Linked DNA regions of Stegostoma tigrinum. The protein of the gene in region 2 purifies or fractionates together with the protein of the main gene of each other region. This does not show direct contact. Links are inferred from orthologs where the notes say so. Each region holds a gene or a part of one and is shown on either strand. Other genes may lie near its edges.

Evidence for each region.
Region 1: the proteins of sclt1 (region 2) and kiz purify together in Homo sapiens (co-immunoprecipitation; 3 studies listed by BioGRID and IntAct, counting the BioPlex papers as one, with this or other methods). This does not show direct contact. The link is inferred for Stegostoma tigrinum from reciprocal best matches to the Homo sapiens genes SCLT1 and KIZ.

What each region holds. Positions count from the first base shown.
Region 1 is NC_081362.1:13,529,440-13,541,182, reverse strand, and holds the start of kiz (centrosomal protein kizuna), read left to right. Parts: upstream 1-6,843; 5' UTR 6,844-6,844; coding exon of another isoform or gene 6,845-6,881; coding exon 6,882-6,946; intron 6,947-11,743. UniProt on the Homo sapiens protein: Centrosomal protein required for establishing a robust mitotic centrosome architecture that can endure the forces that converge on the centrosomes during spindle formation. Required for stabilizing the expanded pericentriolar material around the centriole.
Region 2 is NC_081354.1:19,945,290-19,957,810, forward strand, and holds the start of sclt1 (sodium channel and clathrin linker 1), read right to left. Parts: upstream 5,635-12,521; 5' UTR 5,505-5,634; exon of another isoform or gene 5,217-5,504; intron 1-5,216. UniProt on the Homo sapiens protein: Adapter protein that links SCN10A to clathrin. Regulates SCN10A channel activity, possibly by promoting channel internalization.

The DNA.
Region 1 (11,743 bases), on a different chromosome or scaffold from region 2:
CGCATTTACGATAACAGGATATAAAAATGGCGATTTTAATGTTAACGCGGAAAAGAATTCACGACAAAATAAATACCATGAAAATATTAAAAAGGCAAAATCGTTAACGCAGAAGTGTCGATTTTATGATTCTATGATACTATGCGCTATAAATTATTGATGCACCAGGTAATCGAACTTAATCCTCTCGCGTCGGTGATAAAAGTATGTCCCGGGTTCATATTTATTAGATATCGTGTCGTGCTGGCGAGACCCACTTGGCTGCACTACTCACAGCGTAGCCTGTTACCAATTACTGTACTTCTGGTTTTACGAGAGACTCTTGTAACTCACCACCGCGTTTCTTACACTGCACCTGATCCTTCAGATAACTAGGGCAGTTCCACTCCTCATGGTGATAGTAAGTTTGAGAAGTGAAGCTCAACACAGATAAAGTTGAAATGGACATCTATACATTTTATGGCATAATATCATCGCTATAATGCAGTCAGGTGGCCGAGAAACCACATCCACTTTATAAAAGCTTCGGTGAACCGCAGCTGCGGGCAAATGAAGCCTTTAGTATGTAGACTGCACTTCGTGGTCAGCAAATCATGTGCTTTCGGAAGCAATGCACACCCACAAATTTTTGAAAGGATAGGCAACAAATTTGATCCTGTCTTTTAAAAAATCTGCATTAGAGATCCATAGACGTTGCATACAAACCAAAGTCTTTCCACTTGCACTGAATAATCTGAACCTGGTACAAGATCAGTATGTAATAGCCCCACTTTACAAATTAAAAGATCACCCAAAATTAAATCACAGCGAGTGATTATTTTAAGCAATTCATTTAAATGTGTAAGGTCTTGATGTACAATGAACTAACAGTACAAGGGTTTAGAAGTAAATCAGAACCCTATTTCCTCAACCCGTGGAGTGTCATTCTGGGGTATTTAAATTGATATGGAGTTTGAGCGTTATTATTTATTCAGTTATTAATATTTGAACCGCCTAGAACATTTCCAGATATATTGAATGATGTATTTCTGTTACATTTAGGATGCCTGATGTTTGATTCACGCTGGATTTTGTTCTCCAGAGATGCACAACGTGATAAATGCAGCAATTTTCTCCAATGGGCAGCTTTGAAGAACATGGCAATTTCAAGCTGCTGGATGTTATTTAGTGTAATAAGAAATAAAACGATCCTATTTCTGAAATAACAGTGTCTATCATCAGTTGAACTACACTGAAAAGGTAATTGTTTCCTGATGATAGATCCATTACAGCCGATCCTGGCCTAAAATCATCCAATGCACCGTGAAAATGAAGGACGAAATCGGTGTTTGCACCTTAATCACCAGAGTAAGTTTGTGCCTAGACCAATAGCTGTTTTCCGCACTCAATCGAGCCAGCCTCTGGCCCTAGTCATTGAATTCTCAGTTGCAAAGGCTACATCACCTCATTTTAGATAGTTTTAGTTCCTCCCTACCAACAATTACAATCAGAGGGAAACAGTTGAATTCAGCACTCGGGGACATTGTAATTACCTGTTTTAAGAGGACTTAAAATTGTAGCTAAATTGTGTGTGTGATTTATAAAAATCATTTTCGATGTCGTTTCTCTTTCTATGAAATATTTCTGAGTGTTAATATTGGCGTACGACGATGAAAAATGCGACAATGCGTTCAATAGTTTTAAAACAATGCATTTACGCAAGGCAGAACATCACAGGTTCAAAGTATGTTAGTCTTATTATTATTTTGACTTGCTGCTGAAGATCGATTATACATAACAGTGTTGGTCGCGGGTCCATGGGAAATATCGTCAACAGTCCCACATGGGGACACACAACTTGTTTACAGTACTGTTAGTCACTGGTTTGTTATACCTGTCGATCCGGAATAATCCATCATCACTAGACGATGTAGATTATAATGTGTTAATGATTAACATCGTTCCAATGTAAGCATCATTATATGCGTGAAAAGAAATGCGAAGGTTTCTGAAATAACCAATTAGTATGTTTTCATTTAGTTATTATCGCTCATGCTCACAACCTAATTGTACAAAGACGAGTGGAAGCAATATTCCACCACTGGCATTTCTATTCTGATGGGAAGTTAAACATTTATCGGGGAAAAATACATCCAGTCAAAAAAATAATGTAATAGACAAGGGACGTTTAGAAAGCGAAGCGGCGTCGTGGTATAGTTTTCAAAAGTGCTCATTTATTAGGAGTTTACAAAAGGGAATCTAATGCAGGAAAGGCCAAAGGCACTCAGACAGTGGCTGTACCATACAATGTATCCTATTAACTCAGGTTGTAACTCTTAAAAGATGGTGGCAGCCGATGATTCCGTGTAAGCGCCGTTTTAGCTCTGACATTATTTATAGAGCTGACTAATAGCGCTAACAGTGGAAACCAGGGCTAATTAAGCATCCTCTCGGATGCTCGCACCATTTGACCTGTGTTGCTATCGCTGTCCTGGAGTGTAAATGGGAAAAGAGAGGACGGGGGTTAACTAACTGAACCGATCTACATAAGAAGCTTTGTTTATAGTTTATTAAACATACAGCTTGAATAGACTAATCACCTGCATGTTACATATGTTTGACTACCAATCTGTCATTATGAACAACGCTTTCACTTTTATGTTTTGGGAGATTCAGAACGCTACAAGAGTTCTAACGCGAAAAACCCATTCCTCAGTTTGGCAGCTGTTACAGCGGAAACAGTGAGAAAGTAGCAAATGTTATGAAGCAAAAGTATTCAAAAATATTACTATGTGTTTAAGATACTATATATTAATAATTAAGAATGGTAAGAGCATTACGCAATATTGAATATTAGTTGAAATATTATTTTACGAGATGGATTTTTAATATTATTCGGGAGTACTTTGGAGGAAATACAGCCTCGTGTCTACATGAGCGAAAGCTATTTTAATGAGTTTCAACGAGTTTACACAGATTATAGTGATTGACGAGATTATGTGGCAGATCCCAACATCACACTCAACTTTTTATTATGTTGTCGACTTGCGACACAACATGAACAAAGTAAATTTGAATGCACAACGCGGATATTATTTATTTCTTTAATGTATTATGAACAACTGTTGATATGTATCATGATTATACTTGTATATCACGTTTCTACAATTTTAAGGGCCTATACTAAATGTTCCACATCAACGTTTTGTCCAACTAATTACAGTTACATTTATTGTCGATTCGTCTTTGTGAGGTTGTTGATCACGATCTTTTATTTTGTTGCGAAGATCTGCCTGGAGTAAAGTGAAACAGATGCTCCTGTGTTTGTCAGCTGTTACTGTTTGTAAAAGGTCAAAGTAGGAGGCAGAGAAGGACCAGGCAACGAAGCAATTAAGAAGAGAAGGCAGAATGTTGCAGACTGGCTCCAAATGTATACAAGAGAGATGGGGGAGTCGGGGGGGGGGGGGGGGGTGGTGAGGTATAGAAGTAGCTCTGCGGTTAAAAAAAAATCAAAGGAACTTTATACTCTACATTAACATAGTTATTTATTCATTGAATTTTTGTTTCTATCTATATCCAGCACACATAAGATATTCACTTAAGAAGGGGTCATTATTCCAAGGGAACTGAACAATAAGATATTCTTTTCTTTAGTCAAATAGATTCAGTTTATCTTGATTCGGTTATCTAATTTGTTGCCTAATCGTGACATAATTACTGAAGTTATATAATTGCATGAATGTATAAACTCCTTTTTAACTTTACACAGATGGTATCTTGTGAATAGACGCAAAAGTTGATTTTTAAACGATATGTTTAGGCTTTAATAGGTGCCAAATCTCATTGTCTCAAGAAGTATTGCAGAGTTTCGGAAATAGGCACAAACGATCCGAATCTCTTTACGGGGAATCCTAATGACGTTAACAGACCTATTTACCAATTAGATCCTAGGAACGTTGTGCTTTAGTCTTTGATAGGAAACAGTTTCTTGCATTTCGTGAACAATTTCTGTTCATTTAAGAAACAGAGTAATCTAACAGCCCGCAACGCACCACATACATGATCACATCGGAGGGTTAAATACGTGTATTTCAATATTGCACTCACCCTACCGAGTTGTAATTCTAGACCCAAATAAATATTGTTGTGTCATTTACATATACAGGCTCAGATATTTTCATTGCTTGGGGGATGATCAGATATTGGGAACACTTTTCATGAAACGAAAGTTAGCAGAAATGTCTAATCAGCTTCTATGTAAGTAACATATATAAGGTTCAGTGATTTCATTGAAATGTTACGGCTGTCATTATTGATGCAGGTCCAAACGTGCATAACATAAAATAGAATATAAGTACAAAGTGCAGGACGTGATTTGCCGACCCTCTACATATTGGCATAAGTTGTGCAGTATTTTGCAATATAATGAAGATATGCTGCATTGAGGAGTTCAGATGTGAATCTTCTGATATTTGTTTGCTCTTGACAAAGTTTGCCTCAGCGGCAATCTGTCATAACCCCATGACTACATGCTACTGACTTTTACGTTGTCTATCAATTTAATATGTCCTCTAGTAAAATAATACTGCTCAGTTACACCAATATCATCCAGGCATCCTTTTCTGAACTGAGTGGTTAGCTACCTTTTGTAGTTTAAAAGCACGCCTTTTTGTTTTTGAGCTGTAGCTCCCAATAACAGCGAACATCCTACAATTTTCTAATTATTTACAATTACTGCAGTGACACAAATCCACCTGCTAAACGTATATTACAATTTAACCATTTGGGTAATTATCTCTTTTACAGCAGTGAATAAATTTTCCGGGTTAGGCTGAAATAATAACTACATCCTGTAACTTATCATTGTAGTCGCGCACAGAGAGAATTGGACCAGACGGGTTTGAAACAAATGGTCCGCTATTGGAAGCAAAACTAGATATTAAAATGTTATGCATTTTCTTATTTGTGTTTTTGCTATATTTATGATTGGATGTTTGCTATTTCCAACATTTATAAAGATTTGTGATCAGGAAATGAAAACAAATTTAAAATATCTTACAAGGTGCTCACATTGAAATAACAACAGGAATAGATATATATTCATCAAAATATAATACTGGATTTAGTGCAAAGTCTGCTCAGAGTGTATTTATGCATAGTATTTGTTGAAAATGCTCAAAACCAAAAAGAAGAACATTACTCAATGATCAGGGAATTAACCTTTAGGAATCTATATACAATGAACTGATATACAAAGAACCTTAAAACATAAAACAGTACTTGGTGTGAAATTAAATCTCTGATGATTATTTTGTATAACCTAAATGATACCTCCAAGCTTGACATTTTTACTTCTGTGAGAGCATTAATCCAAGTGAAGGATTTTGTCCTCTTTCGATCTCACTCAGAAATGTCAAAAGATAATTACGCAAGAAATGGAAGATGTGACACCAAGATGCAATGGAGAATGTAAGACCTTCATATTTCAGATGCCCAGGTGGAAAATGTAACATATCCTGCTGGGCAAAAAGAGTGGTGGGCAGTTAAACAGAATGGATCAAATTCCCACTCTGTACTCATTTTAAAGTGCCAATTTGTCAAGTGTATTCATACAAATCAGAGTACTATTATTTCAATGGGGCTCTGTCATCATGTTAACTAAGAAACCTGCAGAATGCCCATAGTGAATCCCTTCATAATAAGAATATGGTCTATAAGACAAAGAGGCATTTCCAACCTTAAAATTTGTCTTTATGGGGCCAGAAGGAAAAGGGGTACTGGAAGCTCAACTGCGCCCTCACCTATATCTTAGTGAGGAGTCTCTGGAACACCCAAACACTTCATTTTAAGTGGGTGAGAACTCACAGTGAAATGTTACCATGAAGTGACTTTGGACTTTGAACCTCAACCAGGATGGGCATTGGTGGGACTCTTAACCATGGGGTGGCAGCTGATTAATCCAAATAATGACCACTTAAGGCCACTTAAAAAGACCAGATGGGATTTTCCAGTCAACAAGCTAGTTTCACTGTATGGAGGTAACCTCTGCTTGGTTCAGAGGGTCGTCTTCTGTTTGGGCACAGCAGCGGGTACCAATTGCACTTTAGAGTGATTCCAACTCATTGCACATCACCTTCCCCAAGTTTGTAAAGACAATTACTTATTTTGTGTCTTCAAAGAAGTGTAGAAGGGGCAGGTCCAAATTGAAGTAGGCACTCCCTCATATATCTGTAATGGTATTCTGTTGCTGCCTGCAATTCTGAAGGCCTTTATTGGCCTTTCAATTTTGAGATAGTATCTGGAATCCTTAACGAAATGCTGAGCACGTCCTCTGGCTATTCAACAGCAAATCGTATTGATTGACGGTTTATCACACAGTGAAGGCATTTGAACTCCTTCTCCCCCTTTGGCTCCAGAGTGCAGAAGAAACTCTGGGTCAATCTTGCCCATGGCTGTTAAAATTGACAGGACATTCTACTGTGGCTGTCGGACCAATTGCATGCGAAGCCACTCTTGAGGAGAAGATAAAATTTTCATTTCAGAGTTTCTTACATGGATATTCAGATTAGGGTGAACATAGACAGATGTCGAGTAGGGCTCTTGCCACCCTGCCGCAGCATCCTCTATTGTATCAGTATGCCATTTATTTGATATACCACTCCATTGTTGGCTGTCCGCCTCAAGTCTCTTAACTATTGATTCAAGGGTCTACCGGACTAATTTCAGATTATTCGGCTGTCCGGTTCAGTTGAATGTATTTGGGCGGGGAGTGATTGATGAGAACGGTGGAAGGTACCGGCAGCTTTGCCACTGCTATGAGCCTTTTGGGGAGGGGGGTCGGAATTCGGGCCTGGGTGCAGTTGCTATGGCAACGCAGCAAACCGGCGCCGGCCGTGTCGGACATGGCGGCCAGCGATCCGGCCTTCCTGGCGAGATTAGGCGAACTGCAGCGGCAACTGCACGGCAGGTGAGCTCTGAGTCTTCTTTTTCGCCCAACCCTTTCGGACCCCGCACGGTTACGGGGTTGTCTCGGAAGAACGGAAAGCCCGTTTCCCCTTCCTGGCAGCGGCCTCCTGCCCGCAGGCCTTGCGTGAAGCCTCGGACTCGAGTTGGAGGCTAACCTGCGCTCGTGTTAAGTAGTCGCCCGTCGGGGTTTTCCAGCCATTCGCAGTTGCACCGTTTAGTTTGGCATGGATCAGAAACTCATCTGTACTTGAAGAGCTCTGGCTCGTTCTTCAAAACGAGACACAACCAGATGCAGGTTCCATCTTTGACTAAGAGGGACAGTGAAAATTGTACCAACATTGTGACATCTCGAATGCTCCAATGGTTTTTAAAATTCAGGGCAGTACTTTTAAATGTATAGTCGTGCTTGTAATCAAATAAACGGGGCGGTCTCGTGATGCTGGTGCCTTTAAAAATCACAGTCTGACTTTTCAAATTTTCTGTTGAGAACTCTTCCGTCCTACTTCAAGAAGTGCTATGAAACTTTTGCATCCATGTGGCGTCGAAATTATTGAGACCTGACTCGTCCGTCTTCCATCTGTGCGATTGAGAATTTCCTAAATTCCATAACTCAGAATCCTGCAATCCTTCAGCTCTGAGCTTCTTTTGCACACTGTTACACCTTTTTTATAAACTGTATATGTCCTGCCTTCAGTTATTTGAGCACTAAACTCTGAAATAACCTCCCTAAATCTCTCTGCCTTTTCAGTTCCTTAACATCTACGTCTTTGATTAAGTGTTTAGTCTTGTGTCCTAATATTTCTCTCTTTAGATTGTTGCTACGTTTTGTCTGGTTACACTCCTGTGAAGTGCCTTGGAACATTTTCCATGTGACTCCGTTGCGTGGCTTTAAAGTTGTCAGGATCCCGCAGTGAGAACTGACAAGGCTGTGCCGGTTAGAAGGGCCTGTTTTAACTTGGTGAGAGCATTATGGCAGGCTTTGAAGCTTATGACTCCAAAAGTATCAGCTCCCACTGGAGGTCCCAATCCCCACTTTGGAAAGCCTTATCCTTTACTAAAGAAACTACTGATTATTAATAGAAATTCCAGTGACATTGATATATACTTAACATTCCTGAAGGTGTGGACAGTAATGGCAAGGCCAGCATTTATTATTCATCCAAAATTTTCCTTGGAATGATGGTGGCTAGCCACCTCCTTGGATCATTGCGGTCATTATTGTGCAGGTGCTCCCATTGTACTGTTAGGGAAGGAGTTCCAGAATTGTGACCCTTGGAGGTGACTTTACAGGTGGTGATATTCCTGTACACTTGTAGCCGTTGTTCTTCTAACTGTTGATGGTTGTAGTTTGGAAGATGTTGAAGGAGTATTGTATGTCACTGCAGTGCATCTAGTAAGAGGATGTTTGAATTAGAATGCTAAATTTATTAGAAATCTGTAGTTTATTAAATGATTATAGTGGAGAGTGTTGTAAAATATATATCAAACAGATTGAGTCATACTTCAGTCAAACTTTAACGACATTGCTAATTTTCACACTACCTGTTTTCTTTGATTTTACCAATGCTTTCACCAGTATGGGATAGCCATCTTTTGAAGCTTAGAAAAGTGAAAAATGTTTTATCCAATTGAGAATGGCAAGTGTTTAATTCCTTCCGTGAGTGTTCTGGATCTTTTTCGAATACAGCTTCAGTCCTGGGAAGGTGATGCTGAAAATGATGATTATCCAGTAGTTGTGCCATTTATTTTCAGGGTGCTAGCTAGTGATAGCTCAAGCAGCGCATATTCGCAATCCCTGGTGCTTATTTATTCTAAATGTGCCTTAACATTAAATGCACTGGTATGCCAGTGTAACCACCAACATGATTTACTGAATAAATTTGTGGAAAAATTCCAGATGTCATTTTTGCATTTGAAAGGTGATTAGTTTTCAAAATAATGATCCAGTAACTAAAATATCACACAAAGTAGTAGTATGCCTAAGTACATTCTCACTGTAATTACAACAAAAATAATGGTTGCAATTTGTGCCTAGTTAGATTTTTAAGGTAATCTTTGACATTCCAGTTTTCACAATGTTTTCTCAAGTGCAGTAAACAAATAAAAAGTGTTGGAGAAATTCAGCAGGTCGGGTAAAATCTAGGAAAAGCAAAACAGCTAATGTTTTGAGACCAAATTATTCTTCTTTGGCGCTGTGGTATTTTGCTTTTTTGTTAGGCAGGTTTTACATGATAAAGTACTTCTTAAAAATTTGCAAATAGATGACACAGAATACAAAAGTTGGTAATTTTTTTTACTTGGATACTTCTCACAAGATCAACATTTTAAAAATATTTTCTAACGCTCAGAGCTTGGACCCCAGAAAGAAGGATTGGGGGCAAAGTAATGTAAATAATATGAAAGAAGATCAAAAGTTGCTGCACGTACTGGGTTCAGAAAGCATCTGTGGTGAGAATAACGCAGTTAACATTTAAGATCAATGATCTTTTGCCAAAACTCTTTGATGAAAAGGTGGAGACCTGAAGCTTTAAATCTGTTTTTCTTTCAACTGGTGCTACATGACCTGCTGAGTATTTACAGCATTTTTGGGTTTTCAATTCATAAAAAAACTTGTTCATCATTGACAGTTGACTTATATAGCATTTTTGCACAATTTCAATAATTTGGTCTTCACTCCTATCTCCCTTTCAAGGAAAACTCACTTCTCCATCATATTGTGACATGCAGAAAACAGTTTATACCTTAAAAATAAAAAAAAGTGCTTTTCCCCTGGTGGTTTCATATCACATCACATCGACATTCTCCAAAAATAATGTCCTTGAACAGTACGTGACGCCAGAAAATACCACTTTAATTACATCTTAAGCCCAACATCCCATTATAACAAGTTATAACTTTGGAGCTCAAATATCTTTATATTGATCTGCTTTAATTTCGTCGAATTCCACTTAACCAATTTTTTGGCAGTCCTATCTCAGCACCATTGTCTACTGATAGCACTTCTGGATAAATGCTGCTGCCACTGTCTTCAGAACTATAATTCATCCAAGAAATGATGCTTCTTCCTCTTTAAGAGCAATATTTATAACCACTGCAGCAGCCCATCTAAGAAAACACAATCTTGTTACTCTGATGGGACAGCAAAAGAGCAGTAGCAGAGTGGATCTTTACAATCCTAATTTCTTAAGTCAGTTGTAAAAAATAAATGAAGGAGCAGAAGTATGTATATTAATTTAATATATTTGGATTTACATACTTTACTTTCTTGCTTGCAGGAATCAAAAAATGTTTTTTTTCTTGAAATGGGCCACAGTTGTTTTTTGTTCATTTGGGATCCCAGCAGTTAGCATTACAGACAAATGGAGAAGGTAGTATGTGAAGTTTCACTGTTAACAGGCAGTGTTGAAGCTGTTCTAGTATTGGTGTGAAAAACCACGAAATAAAAGGAACAGTATTAAATATGATTCAATTAATTGTTTTTGCCAGTTTGATTCTGGGGGATTAGGTCACTTCATACTTGGTTAAGGATTAATTGTTCTTATGAGGCATAATGCCAATGAGTACGTTAATTTTGAAAGAGAGCCTCTGCTGCTTCATTGGACATACGTACAGTATATTTAGTGAACTATAGAGGTGAGGGTAGTCTGATGTTGATCCTTAGTCAATGCTAAATTGCACCATTTCAGTTTAATTGACAGCAAGGGCATTGTGAATGGTTTTGTTCTAAAATTGGAGAAATTAACAAGGTTTCTTGCTGTTGACCACATTCTAGTGCTCTTGAAAGTGCACTGTGGACATCAACTGAGGATAGTGTAACATGTGGATGTGATTGGTCTCCCACCCGATATTTCATTGGTCCCTCCCACACATGAACAGTGACATCTTGTACCAGATATTGATGGTAGAAGTGCAGTTGGATCTTGCAATGGGTTTGCAATCTTCAGGAAAAAAGGACTAAGGGTAACTTCCAATTCAGGCTCTAATTTAAGTAAGTTTTAATATAATCTTTACCTCTCCAATCTCTTATTTTTGTTCACTTGTTCATGTGGAATTTTCCTGTTCTGATAATCTGTATCTCCTTTCAAGTTTAAGTTGAGACATGCAAGTTTCAGTTCCAACTCTAGCATTTGATTAAACAAGTAAAAAACTGTAAAAGTAAACTTGTATTGAAGTAAAGATTTCAGTTCAATAAATTTTAAGGTATGTCTCAGCAGCATTAGTATGTAATTACATTGTTATGACAGGAGGAAATTAAACACACAGTTAAAATAGTTGGCAAAATATGTTTTTTTGGCATGAAACTATATCTCACTTCAATTAAAATGTAGTTAACTAATTTTCACTGCAGCAGCAAGGAGCCAATTACAAGGTTTTCTTGAGTGAAAGAAAAAGATATTTTATTATCTGCTACTCTGAGAAAAATAATGAAGACAAGACTTCAAGCATATACACACGAGGTATAAAGCTAAAAAGGTATAGCTTCCAATATAAAAGGAAGATGAAAGAAAGTCCTTTGTGTGCTGAGGTGTAAGATTTTAATCATTACTTTTAGATCATTAGTAGAAGTGAACATATTCGTTATCCTTTGAATTCTTGGTGTTCTGATGTTTCTTCTTAACCTTTATTATTATTGGTTTTCTTATTGAAAGAGAGAACTTTTTCAGCTAATTTTGTTTTGTGGTCAAAAATCCATCTCTTGCGTTCTTTCTGCCAAAAGCAGCTGCATGAAATACAAGATAACAAAGTATGAGGCTGGATGAACACAGCAGGCCAAGCAGCATCTTAGGAGCACTTGTTT
Region 2 (12,521 bases):
AAAGATGGTTAGGCCGAGGACAATCACTCCTCATAGCCCACCGAGTCTAATTGGCTCCAGTTTTACCAGGATTTCATGAAGCCACATTCAGTCAAATGCAACCTTAATATCAAAGGCTGACATTTTCACCTCACATCTGGAATTCAGCTCTTTTGTCCATGTCTGAACCAAGGCTGTAATAAAGTCAGGAACCCAAACTGGCATTAGTGAGCAAGTTATTGCTGGCCAGGTGCTGCTTGTTGGCAATGTTGATAATACCTCCCATCACTTTATGAATGATTGAGGGTAGACAGTGAAGCAGTAATTGGCCAGGTGAATTTTCCTGCTTTTTGTGTACAGGATATACTTGAGTAATTTTCAACTTTGTCGAGTAGATGTCAGTGTTGTCACTGTACAGAACAGCTTGGCCAGGGATGCAGCAATTGCTGGAGTACAAGTCTTTAGTACTGTTGGTGTTGCCTGGGCCACAGACTTTGCTGTTTCCATTACTTCCAACCATTTCTAGATAGCACGTGGAGTGAATTAAATTGGCTGAAGACTGGTATCTCTAAAATGGTGATCTCTGGAGGAGGCCAAGATGGATCATTGACTCAGCAGGATAGCAGCAAATAATTCAGCCTTATCTTTTGCACTGATGTGCTGGGCTCCCACATCCAAATTGGGCAGCAAATTGGCTGTTGTGTATCCTGGAGTAAATCAGTGGCTATTGTCAAGAAACATTAACTTTAATGCCCATCTTGAGGTTGTCAAAGGCACTACATAAATGCAGGCTCTCTCCTTCCTTTAGTTAGTCATCCGACAGAACTAAAGCAAGATTAATTTTATGTTGCATGGTGGAAATACACAGGATTGGAAAATAGAAATTCTGTTAAAAGGAAATTTTGTTTTCGTCCAATCAGCTCATTATCATGGAATTGTGCAGTTCAGGACATTTCCAACACAGTTTTGCTTGGACAATGCATGAATATTTTCTGTTGAAATGTAATGGCACAAGACTTAATTGTTGTGGATCAAAAATCTATTGCAATGATGCCCACAAAAAAAGGGGTCAGTTTGCTCAGTTGCGCAGATGGCTGGTTTGTAATGCAGAGTGATGCCAACAGTGTGCGTTCAATTCCCATACTTGCTGAGATTGCCACGAAGGACATTCATTCTCAAACTCTTCCCTCACATCACAATGACCCCCAGGTTAAAGAACTTATACTTATCTCTCTCTTATGAGAACAGCCCTACAATCTGGTAAGCCAATGGAGAGTTTACCTTTAGTAAACAGCTTGCTGTACTATCAACTACTCAATGTACATTTTCAAAGCAATTGGACAATCAGCCTACTTAAGTGTGATCCCAAATTAATATTGGTGTAGGATAGTTAGAAGCACCAACTTTAAAATGTAATATTTTGGCCCACTCTATGTACGCGCACGCTAATAATTTTTAAAAACGCTTAGCATTGAAAAAGCAAATAGGGACAAAAATAGTGCCTTGATCTGTTTCAGCATTCTATCTTTCAACAAATTTCAGATCACAACATAATTTGAAAATTGAATTTCACAAGCTAATATTCTGGTATCTAACAACTTGTTACATTCAAAATATGTCTTATCCTAAGATGCGGATACCCCACTTTAAATCTCCACAGCTTCACAAGTACAACAAAGAACAGCACAGCACAGGAACAGGCCCTTTGGCGCACCAAGGCTGCACCAATACATGATGCTTTTCTAAACTAGAAAACTTTTGCCTCTACCCGGTCTGTAATCCCCTATTCCCTAGTTATATATCTGTCAAGTTGCCTCTGAAACAACGCTATGTATTCATCTCCATCACCGTAGCACATTACGGGCACTTACAACCCTCTGTGTAAAAATCTTGCCTCTCATATCTCCTTTAAAAACCTATCCCCTTTTACCTTAACCTTATATTCCCTAGTACTTGGCATTTCTACCCTGGGAAAAAGATTCTGACTATCCATGCCTGTCATTATTTTGTAAGAACTCTCTGATGAAGGGTCTAGGCCCGAAACGTCAGCTTTTGTGCTCCTGAGATGCTGCTTGGCCTGCTGTGTTCATCCAGCTCCACACTTTGTTATCTTGGATTCTCCAGCATCTGCAGTTCCCATTATCACTGATATTACTTTGTAAGCTTCTATTAGGTCATCCCTCATTCTTCAACATTAAAGTGAAAACAAAGTTTGTCCAATCTCTCCTCATAGCTAATACCCTGCAAACCAGGCAACATCCCGGTACTCTGTTTCTGTACTCTCTCCAAAGCCTCCACATCATTCTGGCATTGTGGTAAATGGAACTATACACAACATTCCAAATGTGACTTATCTAAAATTCTGTACAGCTGCAAAATGACTTGCCAATTTTTATACTCTATACTCCCACCAAAGAAGACACGCATGCCAAATGCCTTCTTGACCACCTTATCCACTTGTGTTGCCACTTTCAGGGAATTATGAACCTGTATACCCAGATCCCACAGTGTGTTAATGCTATAGTTCCCTACTTTTTTCGTTCAAAGTACATCACCTCGCCTTTGTCCGGATTAAACTCCATCTGCCAATTTTTCCACCCAATTCTCCAGTCTCTCTCTCTAACCTCTGGAAATCCAACTCATTATCAGCAGTTTGCCCAATCTTTGTTTCATCTGTAAACCTACCAGTCAAACCACCTATATTCTGCTCCAAATCATATTATAAACAACAGGGGTCACTGCACTGATACCTGCGGAACACCACTGGTCACGGATCTCCAGTCAGAAAAACACACTTATGCTGCCATTTTGTCATCTCCGACTGAGGCTACATCTGTATCTATCTCACCAGTTATTACAGATCCGACATGACTTCAACTTTGTTTTGTCAACCAGCCATGAGAGACATCTTCAAAGGCCTGGCCTAAGGCTATGTAGACAACATCTTCTGCCCTCCCCTCATCGAACATGTTTGTCACTTTCTCAAAAAAGTCAATCAGGATGGTGAGACATGACCTTCCCTGCATAAAGAAATGCTGCCTAATTGAAAAAGTTGAATCTGTAAATGACATTACAACAATCTTAAAAATGTTGAAAGTACACCTTAATTAACATTGTACGTACAAAGACAGGGGAACATTTTTAGAATAATCCCTTGGAGCTGAAAAGTAGCTACTCTTCTTGCTATTATTATAAAATTAATATGCTAAAATACTTCCATTTTTCTTTCAAACAAGTGGCAGCTTGTTCAACTCATCCACACCATGGGAAATAGGAACAGGGGTAGGCCATTTGAGCCTGTTGCAACGTTTAAGAGAATCACCGCTGATCTAAAACTCCCAGTAATCTACAGATTTCCAGCATCCACAGTCAATTTGTTGCTGTATCTACAATAGAACCCAATTCTCTTTTGTAAAACAAAAAGCAGTTTCAATAAAAGATTGCAGCTAGACGTCCTTTCTTACATAGAGTCACATAGCATGGAAACATTCCTTTCCATCCAAGAATTCCATGCTGAATATAATCCCAAACTAAACTAGTCCCACCTGCTGCTCCTGGCCCATATCCCTCCGTACAGTTTTTTAAACCTTTCTCCTCTCAACTTAAAAATATGCACCCTAGACTTGAAATCCCCCCATCCTTGAGAAAAGATAAATACCATTAACTCTATTCATACCCCTCATTATTTTTTAAACTTCTGTTAAAGATCCCCTCTTAGCCTCCTATCCAGCCTTTCTTTATAACTCAAGCCTTCCATATACAGTAACAATCTAGCAAATCTCTTCGGAACCCTTTGCAGCTTGATAATATCCCTCCTATAACTGGGCAACCAGAACTGGGCACAGTTCAGTACAACCTCAACATGATTTCCCAACTCCAAAACCCAAAAGCCTGAGCAATGAAGGCTAGCGTGCCACAAGCCTTTTTAACCTCTGTGTCTACAAGGGGACGCAGGCTTCCAGAATTATGTACTTACACCCCCATTCTACAATACTATACAAATGCGGATGCTGAAAATCTGAGATAAAAACTGAATTGGCTGCTCTGGCAGCATTTGTGGAAACAGAAACAACTTAATGGCTACAGTTCTGGCTGATACCCCCATCCATTTAGAAGGTTCCCCTGGAGACCAGGAGAGTGGAGGTGGGTGGGTTCCCCTGGAGATGAGGCTGGAAGGGTCAAGGCCAAGTTTCCCTGGAGATGGAGTGGGAAGAAGCCGGGCCGGGATCCCCAGGTCAGAAATCACACGAGAACAGATTATGGTCCAACACGTTTATTTGAAAACACAAGCTTTCAGAGTCTTACTCCTTCTTCAGGTGTTAGTGAGAGAGGTAATATCATACACAGAACTTATAAGAAAAAGATCAAAGGGTCACATCACTGATGAGGATGTGCTCCACAAACCTAAGATACTGTTAAATATTTAATCAATTAGAATGTTTTAATTGATTAATATATACATAAATCAATGAATTTCTTTCAAGTGACTATCCTGTAAGAAATATTGGTTTCAGCAGTGTAGACAAGAGTGACATTTTAGGTCAGACAATGCACGTTAGGTGTAGGAATAAAACTAGTCTGACTCTGAACCAAAACATGAACAGAATCTAAGCCTCTGATGCTGCCTGGCCTGTTGTGCTCCTCCAGCTCCCTACTGTATTATCTCTGACTTCAGTATCTGCAGTTTTTGCTATCACACCCCTAACAATCAATGTCTGACATGAAACGTCACTTCTTCTTTACACTGATGAAACCGTTAGTTCTCTCAGGGCACAGACTTGAAAGGAATTCAGGGATTTACATATTACTATTAATCAGTTAAAACCTTCTGACTGATTAAAGATTTAAGAGCATCTCAGTTGTGTTTAGCACATCCTGATCTGTGGTTGCGATCCTTTGACATTTTGCTTATGAATTCAGCATCTGTCGTCACTTGCCTCACTAACATCTGAAGAACGAGCGATGCTGTGACAGCTTGTGTTTTCAAATAAACCTATTGGACTATAACCTGGTGTTGCATGATTTCTCAACCTGTCCACCCCGGTCCAACAACAGCACCTCCACATCAGGGAACCCTGGAGGAAGAGTTAGGTAAGAGCGGGGCTCCGATCCCTTGGAGACGGGGCTGAGGGCGGAGCTCCGATCCCTTGGAGACGGGGCTGAGGGCTGAGCCTGGTTTCCCGGGAGACGGGGATGGGGGCGGGTCTCCCACCCCTTTGGGCGGCGGGCCACGGGGAGGATGCGGGGCCTGGTTCACCGGGAGACGGCTTTTGGGGCGGGCCCAGATCACCTTGGAAACGAGGCGTGGCCAGCGGGCACTGACCTGACGACAAAAGGCTCTGGTGGGTCTCCCCGCCCACGTACTCCTCCTCCTCCCCACCACAACAAACCGACACCGACCGCAGTTAAATACGAGACGTCACCTTCATAAAATCAATCACCGCACAATCCTCCGCTGTCCACCGTTTTATTTAACCGACGCTTTTACACCGGGCCCGCCCGCGCACCCTCCCTCACACACACACCTTCTTCTGCCGAACAACTCGAGTCGATTTCTTTTTTGAAAAACCGCCGAACAGCTCGCTGTCGTCACCAAATTGAACCTTCCGGGAGGAAAAAAATAACCTCGACTGGAGTTCCGCGGGAGGATCTTATTTCGCGGCCCCACTCCCTCCCTCGAGAGACCAGACTGTTTCCTGTCAGTGTTTGTTTATTTACCCCTCCCACCCCAACCCACGGCTATTTATTGCGGCTGAAGCGATTTGCAGAACATCGAAGGCAGCTTTCAAGACGAATCTAATTCTTCGGTAAGTTTGTACAAGCACATCGGTAGCACATTGAATAGTAGTTGTAACAGAGCGCGAAGTAACTTCTTGGCCCGTCCAGGAGGTTAACATCAGGCTGACGCCCTGTGATTTTTGTTTGACATTAGTGCAGTCGTTGCTTTAAACTTCACCAGAGACAGGAAGGTGGGTATAGGGGCTTGGGGCATAGGAGAGGGAATGGGTGTCTGGAAAGACGGTGGGATAAATGGCCTAGAATGGGGTGAGAATGGGAATAGAGTTTAAGATATTGAGGCCCGGTTGGGGGATTGGGTCAAGAGTGAAGCTGGGATTGTAGTGGTCACAATAAGGTCAGCCCTGTGGACCTCAGAATGTGAGTTCCCTGATTGGGGCTGTTAAGCTGGTCCAATCAGGGAGCCTAGGCTGACACAAAAAACAGGCATCGCAGGGGCTTTGTATCACAGATAATAGGAACCGGAGATGCTGGAGAGTCCGAGATAATGAGGTGTGGAGGTGGATGAACACAGCAGGCCAAGCAGCATCTCAGGAGCAGGAAAGCTGACATTTCGGGCCCAGACCCTTCATCAGAAATGGGGGAGAAATAGTCGAGAGTGGGGGAGGCGGATCGAAGATGGAGAGGTGATAGAGGAGGCAGACAAGTCAAAGAGGCAGGGATGGAGCAAGTGAGTGTAGGTGGGGAGGTACGGACGAGATAGGTCAGTCCAGGGAGGATGGACAGGTCAAGGGGGTGGGATGAGGTTAGTAGGTAGGAAATGGGGGTGCTGTTTGATGTGGGAGGAGGGGATAGGTGAGAGGAAGAACAGGTTAGGGAGGTGGGGACGAGCTGGGCTGGTTTTGGGATGCGGTGGGGGAGTGGAGATTTTGAAGCTTGTGAAATCCACATTAATACCATTGGGCTGCAAGGTTCCCAAGCAGAATATGAGTTGCTGTTCCTGCAACCTTCGGGTGGCATCATTGTGGCACTGCAGGAGGCCCAGGATGGACGTGTTGTCAGGAATGGGAGAGGGAGTTGAAATGGTTCACGACTGGGAGGTGCAGTTGTTTACTGCGAACCGAGTAGCAGTGTTCTGCAAAACGATCCTCAAGCTCCCACTTGGTTTCCCCGATGTAGAGGAGGCTACAACAGGAACAGCGGATACAATCTACCACATTAGCAGATATGCAGGTGAGCATCTGCTTGGTGTGGGAGCGGGGGGGGGGGGGGGGGGCGTTGTTAACTGTGATGATGCACATTTTTTGGTGACTGGCAGCCGTCTGGGGAAGGGATGCTGAAACTGAGGCCATGCAATGATATCTCTCAGAATCATTTAAAAGGGTATCCAGCAACGGAGCTCTTGGTGCCAAAATGATAATAACAACTTCCTTGGAGATGTCAAACGTAGGATAGGCTGGAGTCAGGAAGAGAGATGCATGTCTGCTGTTTGCATGTGGTGATGTAATTGGTGCTTAGAGAAAAGAAATTACATTTCACACAGATTTTCTCTCACTGCTCCAGTTTTTCTTTGACAAGGTTGCTAAGGTTAAGCCATTTGTAGGAAATTGCCAAGGCATCCGAGCAGTGAATAGAACAACAGGATTGTGCTCAGTGAATCAGGATGTCTGCTCACTCTAATGGAGTGTAAATTAGGGGCTGAAGCCTGGAGTTAGGTGTAGTTGGAATAGGGGCAAGGAACATTGAAGAGTGTGGAAAGATGCTGAGTGGATATAAACACTCAGGATCACTTGGAGTTGAAATAGAAGCCATGGCCGGCATGTAGATAGGAACCTGTTGGGATACTATGTAAGGGGACAGAGACCCAGATAGAGAAGGAGTAAGGAGTGAAGAACCAGGGTTGTGAAATTTTCCCAGGGGAATGGTTACAATAGTTTGAAACTTTAGGAACAAGTGATTTTGATTTATTTTATAGAACATAGAACATAGAACAGTACAGCACAGAACAGGCCCTTCAGCCCACAATGTTGTGCCGACCATTGATCCTCATGTATGCACCCTCAAATTTCTGTGACCATATACATGTCCAGCAGTCTCTTAAATGACCCCAATGACCTTGCTTCCACAACTGCTGCTGGCAACGCATTCCATGCTCTCACAACTCTCTGCGTAAAGAACCTGCCTCTGACATCCCCTCTATACTTTCCACCAACCAGCTTAAAACTATGACCCCTCGTGCTAGCCATTTCTGCCCTGGGAAATAGTCTCTGGCTATCAACTCTATCTATGCCTCTCATTATCTTGTATACCTCAATTAGGTCCCCTCTCCTCCTTTTCTCCAATGAAAAGAGACCGAGCTCAGTCAACCTCTCTTCATAAGATAAGCCCTCCAGTCCAGGCAGCATCCTGGTAAACCTCCTCTGAACCCTCTCCAAAGCATCCACATCTTTCCTATAATAGGGCGCCCAGAACTGGACGCAGTATTCCAAGTTACGTTTGGTCATGACTTGTTTCTCCAATGCATGCAAGTGTTATAACATAATTCATTATATTTTATAATCTATAATCCAAAATTGGTGTTTCCTGTATATAAATATTTTTAAAGTGTATGTTTCTTCAACTCCATCCCATTTATCATGGTTTTGCAAATGTAGTATGAAGCCTTATGGACCAGTTTCTTATGTGTTTACATATAAACATAGTTTGCTGAAAGATTTTCACAAGACTTTGATTCCCTTTTACAGGTAATTAAAAAGTTTAGCAATCACTATTGCAAAACTCCTATAAATATTGTACTGTTACATAAATAAATGTATATATCCTGTTATATGTGACTGTAAGAATGCATCACAATCATAAGCATTGTTACAGTTGTAATATGGGCTGTTACTTCTCACATAATTTCTAAATTATTAGTCCTTTAACAGCTGCTCTTGTGTCTTTACCCACAAGGGAAGTTAAGATTATAGCAATCAAAGAAAATGGTAACAGTGATATTGAATTTTTGTTGAGCTGGGCATAAAGCACATATTAAAACACAGCCGTGTTTAGGGATCTCAAAAGCAAGTTACTAAGAAATTGATTCCAGTAGAATCTCTGGAGATTGAAAACATTATACATTTATTTAAAACAATTGTGCAAACATAAAACGAGCAACTGCAGGCCTGGCCAATTTAATCTTGGTGGCACGAAGCCGTTAGAAATGATAATCTGTTGTAAGGTTAACAGTCACCTAAACAAGGATGGATTAATTAAAGAAAACCACACACCTGTGGGAGCAGGTGGAACTTGAATCTAGACCTCCTGGCTCAGAGCTAGGGACACTACCACCATGCCACAAAATTCCCAGACACATTTATTCAAAGTAATTTGCATTTAGCTAACTTGGTTGAATTGATTTGAAATACGGAAGATGGATAGGGTTAATGTATTGTAAGTGAGCTTTGCTGTGATCCTGCAGAGGTGCATGACCAAATGGAGCATATATTCCCAATATAATATGGTCACCATGATCCATCTGTGCATGTGCAATTGCATGCATCATGTCACATCAGTCTCCCATTCCTTAGATGACATGTCCATCCTGGGCCTCCTGCAGTGCCATAATAATGCTACCCGTAGGTTGCAGGAACAGCAACTCGTATTCCGCTTGGGAACCCTGCAGCCCAATGGTATCAAAGTGGACTTCACCAGCTTCAAAATCTCCCCCCCCCCCCCCCCCCCCCCCCCCCACTGCATCCCAAAACCAGCCCAGCTCATCCCGCCTCCCTAACCTGTTCTTCCTCTGACCTATCCCCTCCTCCCACCTCAAGCTGCATCTGTATTTCTTACCTTCTAACCTCATCTCACCCCCTTAACCTGTCCGTCCTCCCCGGACTGGTCTATCCCCTCCCTACCTCCACGCCCACAATCTCCTCCCCACCTATCTTCTCTATCCATCTTCGGTCAGCCTCCCCCTCTCTCCCTATTTATTTCAGAATCTTCTCTCCATCCCCCTTTTCTGATGAAGGGTCTAGGCCTGAAACCTCAGCTTTTGTGTTCCTAAGATGCTGCTTGGCCTGCTGTGTTCATCCAGCTCCACACTTTTTATGTCACATCAGCTCCTATTTTCTAACCATGCAGGCTTTTAATTCAGATGATCCAATTCATTAATTTAAGTATAGAGCAAAAGGCAAGCTGTCTAGCTACAGATTATCCATCAGAAACAGAAGAGACTCAATGAGAAACCAGAAGGCACTGCCATGCACATAAAGCACAGACTTCATTCACAATCTGATGTGATTGAGGTTCCTTCCTATTTTTCATATTTTTTTTGATGTATTACCGTTAGGACTGGAATACGTCGTTCTATTCTGAAAACAGCAAAGTCTTTGTGTACCACCTTTAACACTGGAAACATCCAAAATTCTTCATGGGGTGAATCCATAATAAATGAACATTGAACCAAAAGAAGTGTCTATTGCGCATTTCCACGTAGTTGGCTCCATGTTGCATTGGCACAAGGTGGCATTAGCCACAAATGCATCCTCCAAAAAAGACCCTAATGAGAAAACCAATGGGCAATCAATGACATGCCTCTGATGTGAAATCTATATTGTAATCAAGAGGTGAAAGCCAATTTTTGTGCAAGGAGCCAGAAATGATATTCTGATAATGACCAGATGATCTATTTACTAGCAACATTAATTTGGAAAAAACTTGTTGACTAGGATACCAGGGAGAACAAGCCGTACCTCCACTGCTTTTTGGTTTGTAATATGTCACCTCTTACTTTCATCTGAGAAGACAGATGGACCTCAGTTTATCAGGCAGCAATCTCTTTTTCTATGTTGGGTTCACCCTTCATTATTGAAAGGAACCATGATGTAAAGTAAAATTCATGGAAGTGCAGAAGGAGATCACATAATTGCTTAAGAGAACATCTTGATCCCAATGTGCAATCCCCAACTCTGGCTAAAAGCCCAGTGACGAACCGGCCAAAGGGATGAACAGCTATCCTGCTGTCATTAATGGTCATTTAAATAGACTGGAGGCAGGATTTCCACCCCATAGGAACAAGAAGCTCCATCAGTGATCTGCTGTCCAATTTTGTGTTTGGCATCTCTGGAGTCCCAGCAACATAAAGGTGTGAAGGGTAGGAAAACAGGCTGTTCCCAGTGGAGATTTCTGCTAGAAGCAGACACCAGTGTGAATTGGGGAGACATTGGGAAGACCTTGCATTTGGTTTAATGATATCCCCAATTTTCAAACCTGGAGAAAAATCAGACATTGAATTTAATTTCAGGCATCATGTGTTGAAAGTCCCACAGTACTCCAGAAATATCTGCTGAGGTTATGTGCCCAAATCTTAGTATGTGGTGTGAATCCACAGCCTTCTAACTCGAGGGAGTGCAGTGGATTGAGCTAAACTTGACATCGAAAAGGTTCCCTCATAATACTGAGTTGTGATCCAGAACTTGCTGCACCCCTAGCAAAGTGTTTCAGCATAGCTCCAGCATCGGCATCTACTGGGCCATGGTGATGAATGCCCAGAAATGGCCTTTACTCAAAAAACAGGATAAATCCAACACCGCCAGTTACTGTCCCTGAGGCTAATCTTGATCGTCAGTAAATTATGGATGGGGTCACCAGCAGTGCTTTCAAGCAGCACTGATTTAGTAATAATAACTTACTGACCAACAGTTTGGGTTCTGCCTGGACGGCCAGCTCCTAACCTCTAGGAATTCCTGTGCATGTCTATGTTTGGCTTGGACAACGTAACTATAGTAGCCCAAGTCAAACAAAGACATGCACGGGAATTCCTAGAGGCATGGTTCTTAACCAGTAATGCAGTCAACAAACATATAGAATTGTACCCCATGTACAAACCCATACAGATCAAAACTGAAAATTACACTAATCATCATAATGGGCCAGACAGTATAAATTCCAATTGGAGTAGAACAACATCCTTTCATTGGAGGCCTCACTGATGATATTACCTAGCATAGTGATGAAACGTCTGAGCGAAAACAAGGCAGCTCCGTGAGTAAGTCAACAACGTCAGTAATTTAGGTTAATAAAAGGAGAAGAATAGCTTCACATTCATGATGAATTCTTAAAGTGAACACTTTGAAAAATGATATGCAGTACTGATATCTATATGGTCATTTAAAATCCAATAGTAGACATAATTTCCAACTTTACACAAATATCTGTCATTTCCACTTTAGCTATTCAAACATCGTGCCACCAATTCTTCTTATTCACTGTGCTTCACTTTCTTGTCCCTTGAACCATGAAAGAGCTTGTATGAACCTCATTTGTCTCCAGTAACTGCTGGTACTTGTCCATCACAATGGTTGTCATTTTCCTTGTATTGCATCCAGAGTGGGTTTTGTTCACAGTTGCAATATTATGCCAAACATTTTAGATAATAGTCATTTTGTCATTTATTGTTGAATGCTGATGTTGTTTCTTTTGTTAGAAGATACATTAATGTTGTTTCAGGAACAAAGAATATAAAATTAAAAATTTAAAAGGCCAAATTATTGATTCCTATTTTGCAAAAGCACTGCATTTATTGGAGTGTTTCCAAGGCAACCAACTTTTTTTTCATAGATGACAATGCACATGATTTATAACAGTATTCCCTTGTATTTATATAGCATGTCTAACATAATAAAAATATCCCAAGTTACGGGATCTGGATTGCAGAATTTACGTCCTTATTTTTCTTCTCTGTTGCCGCTTAGCGTCTTCTTTACAACATTGTGATTCAAAGCATGAATCAGTGTGATGGACAAGTCACTACCATTCTGTATGAT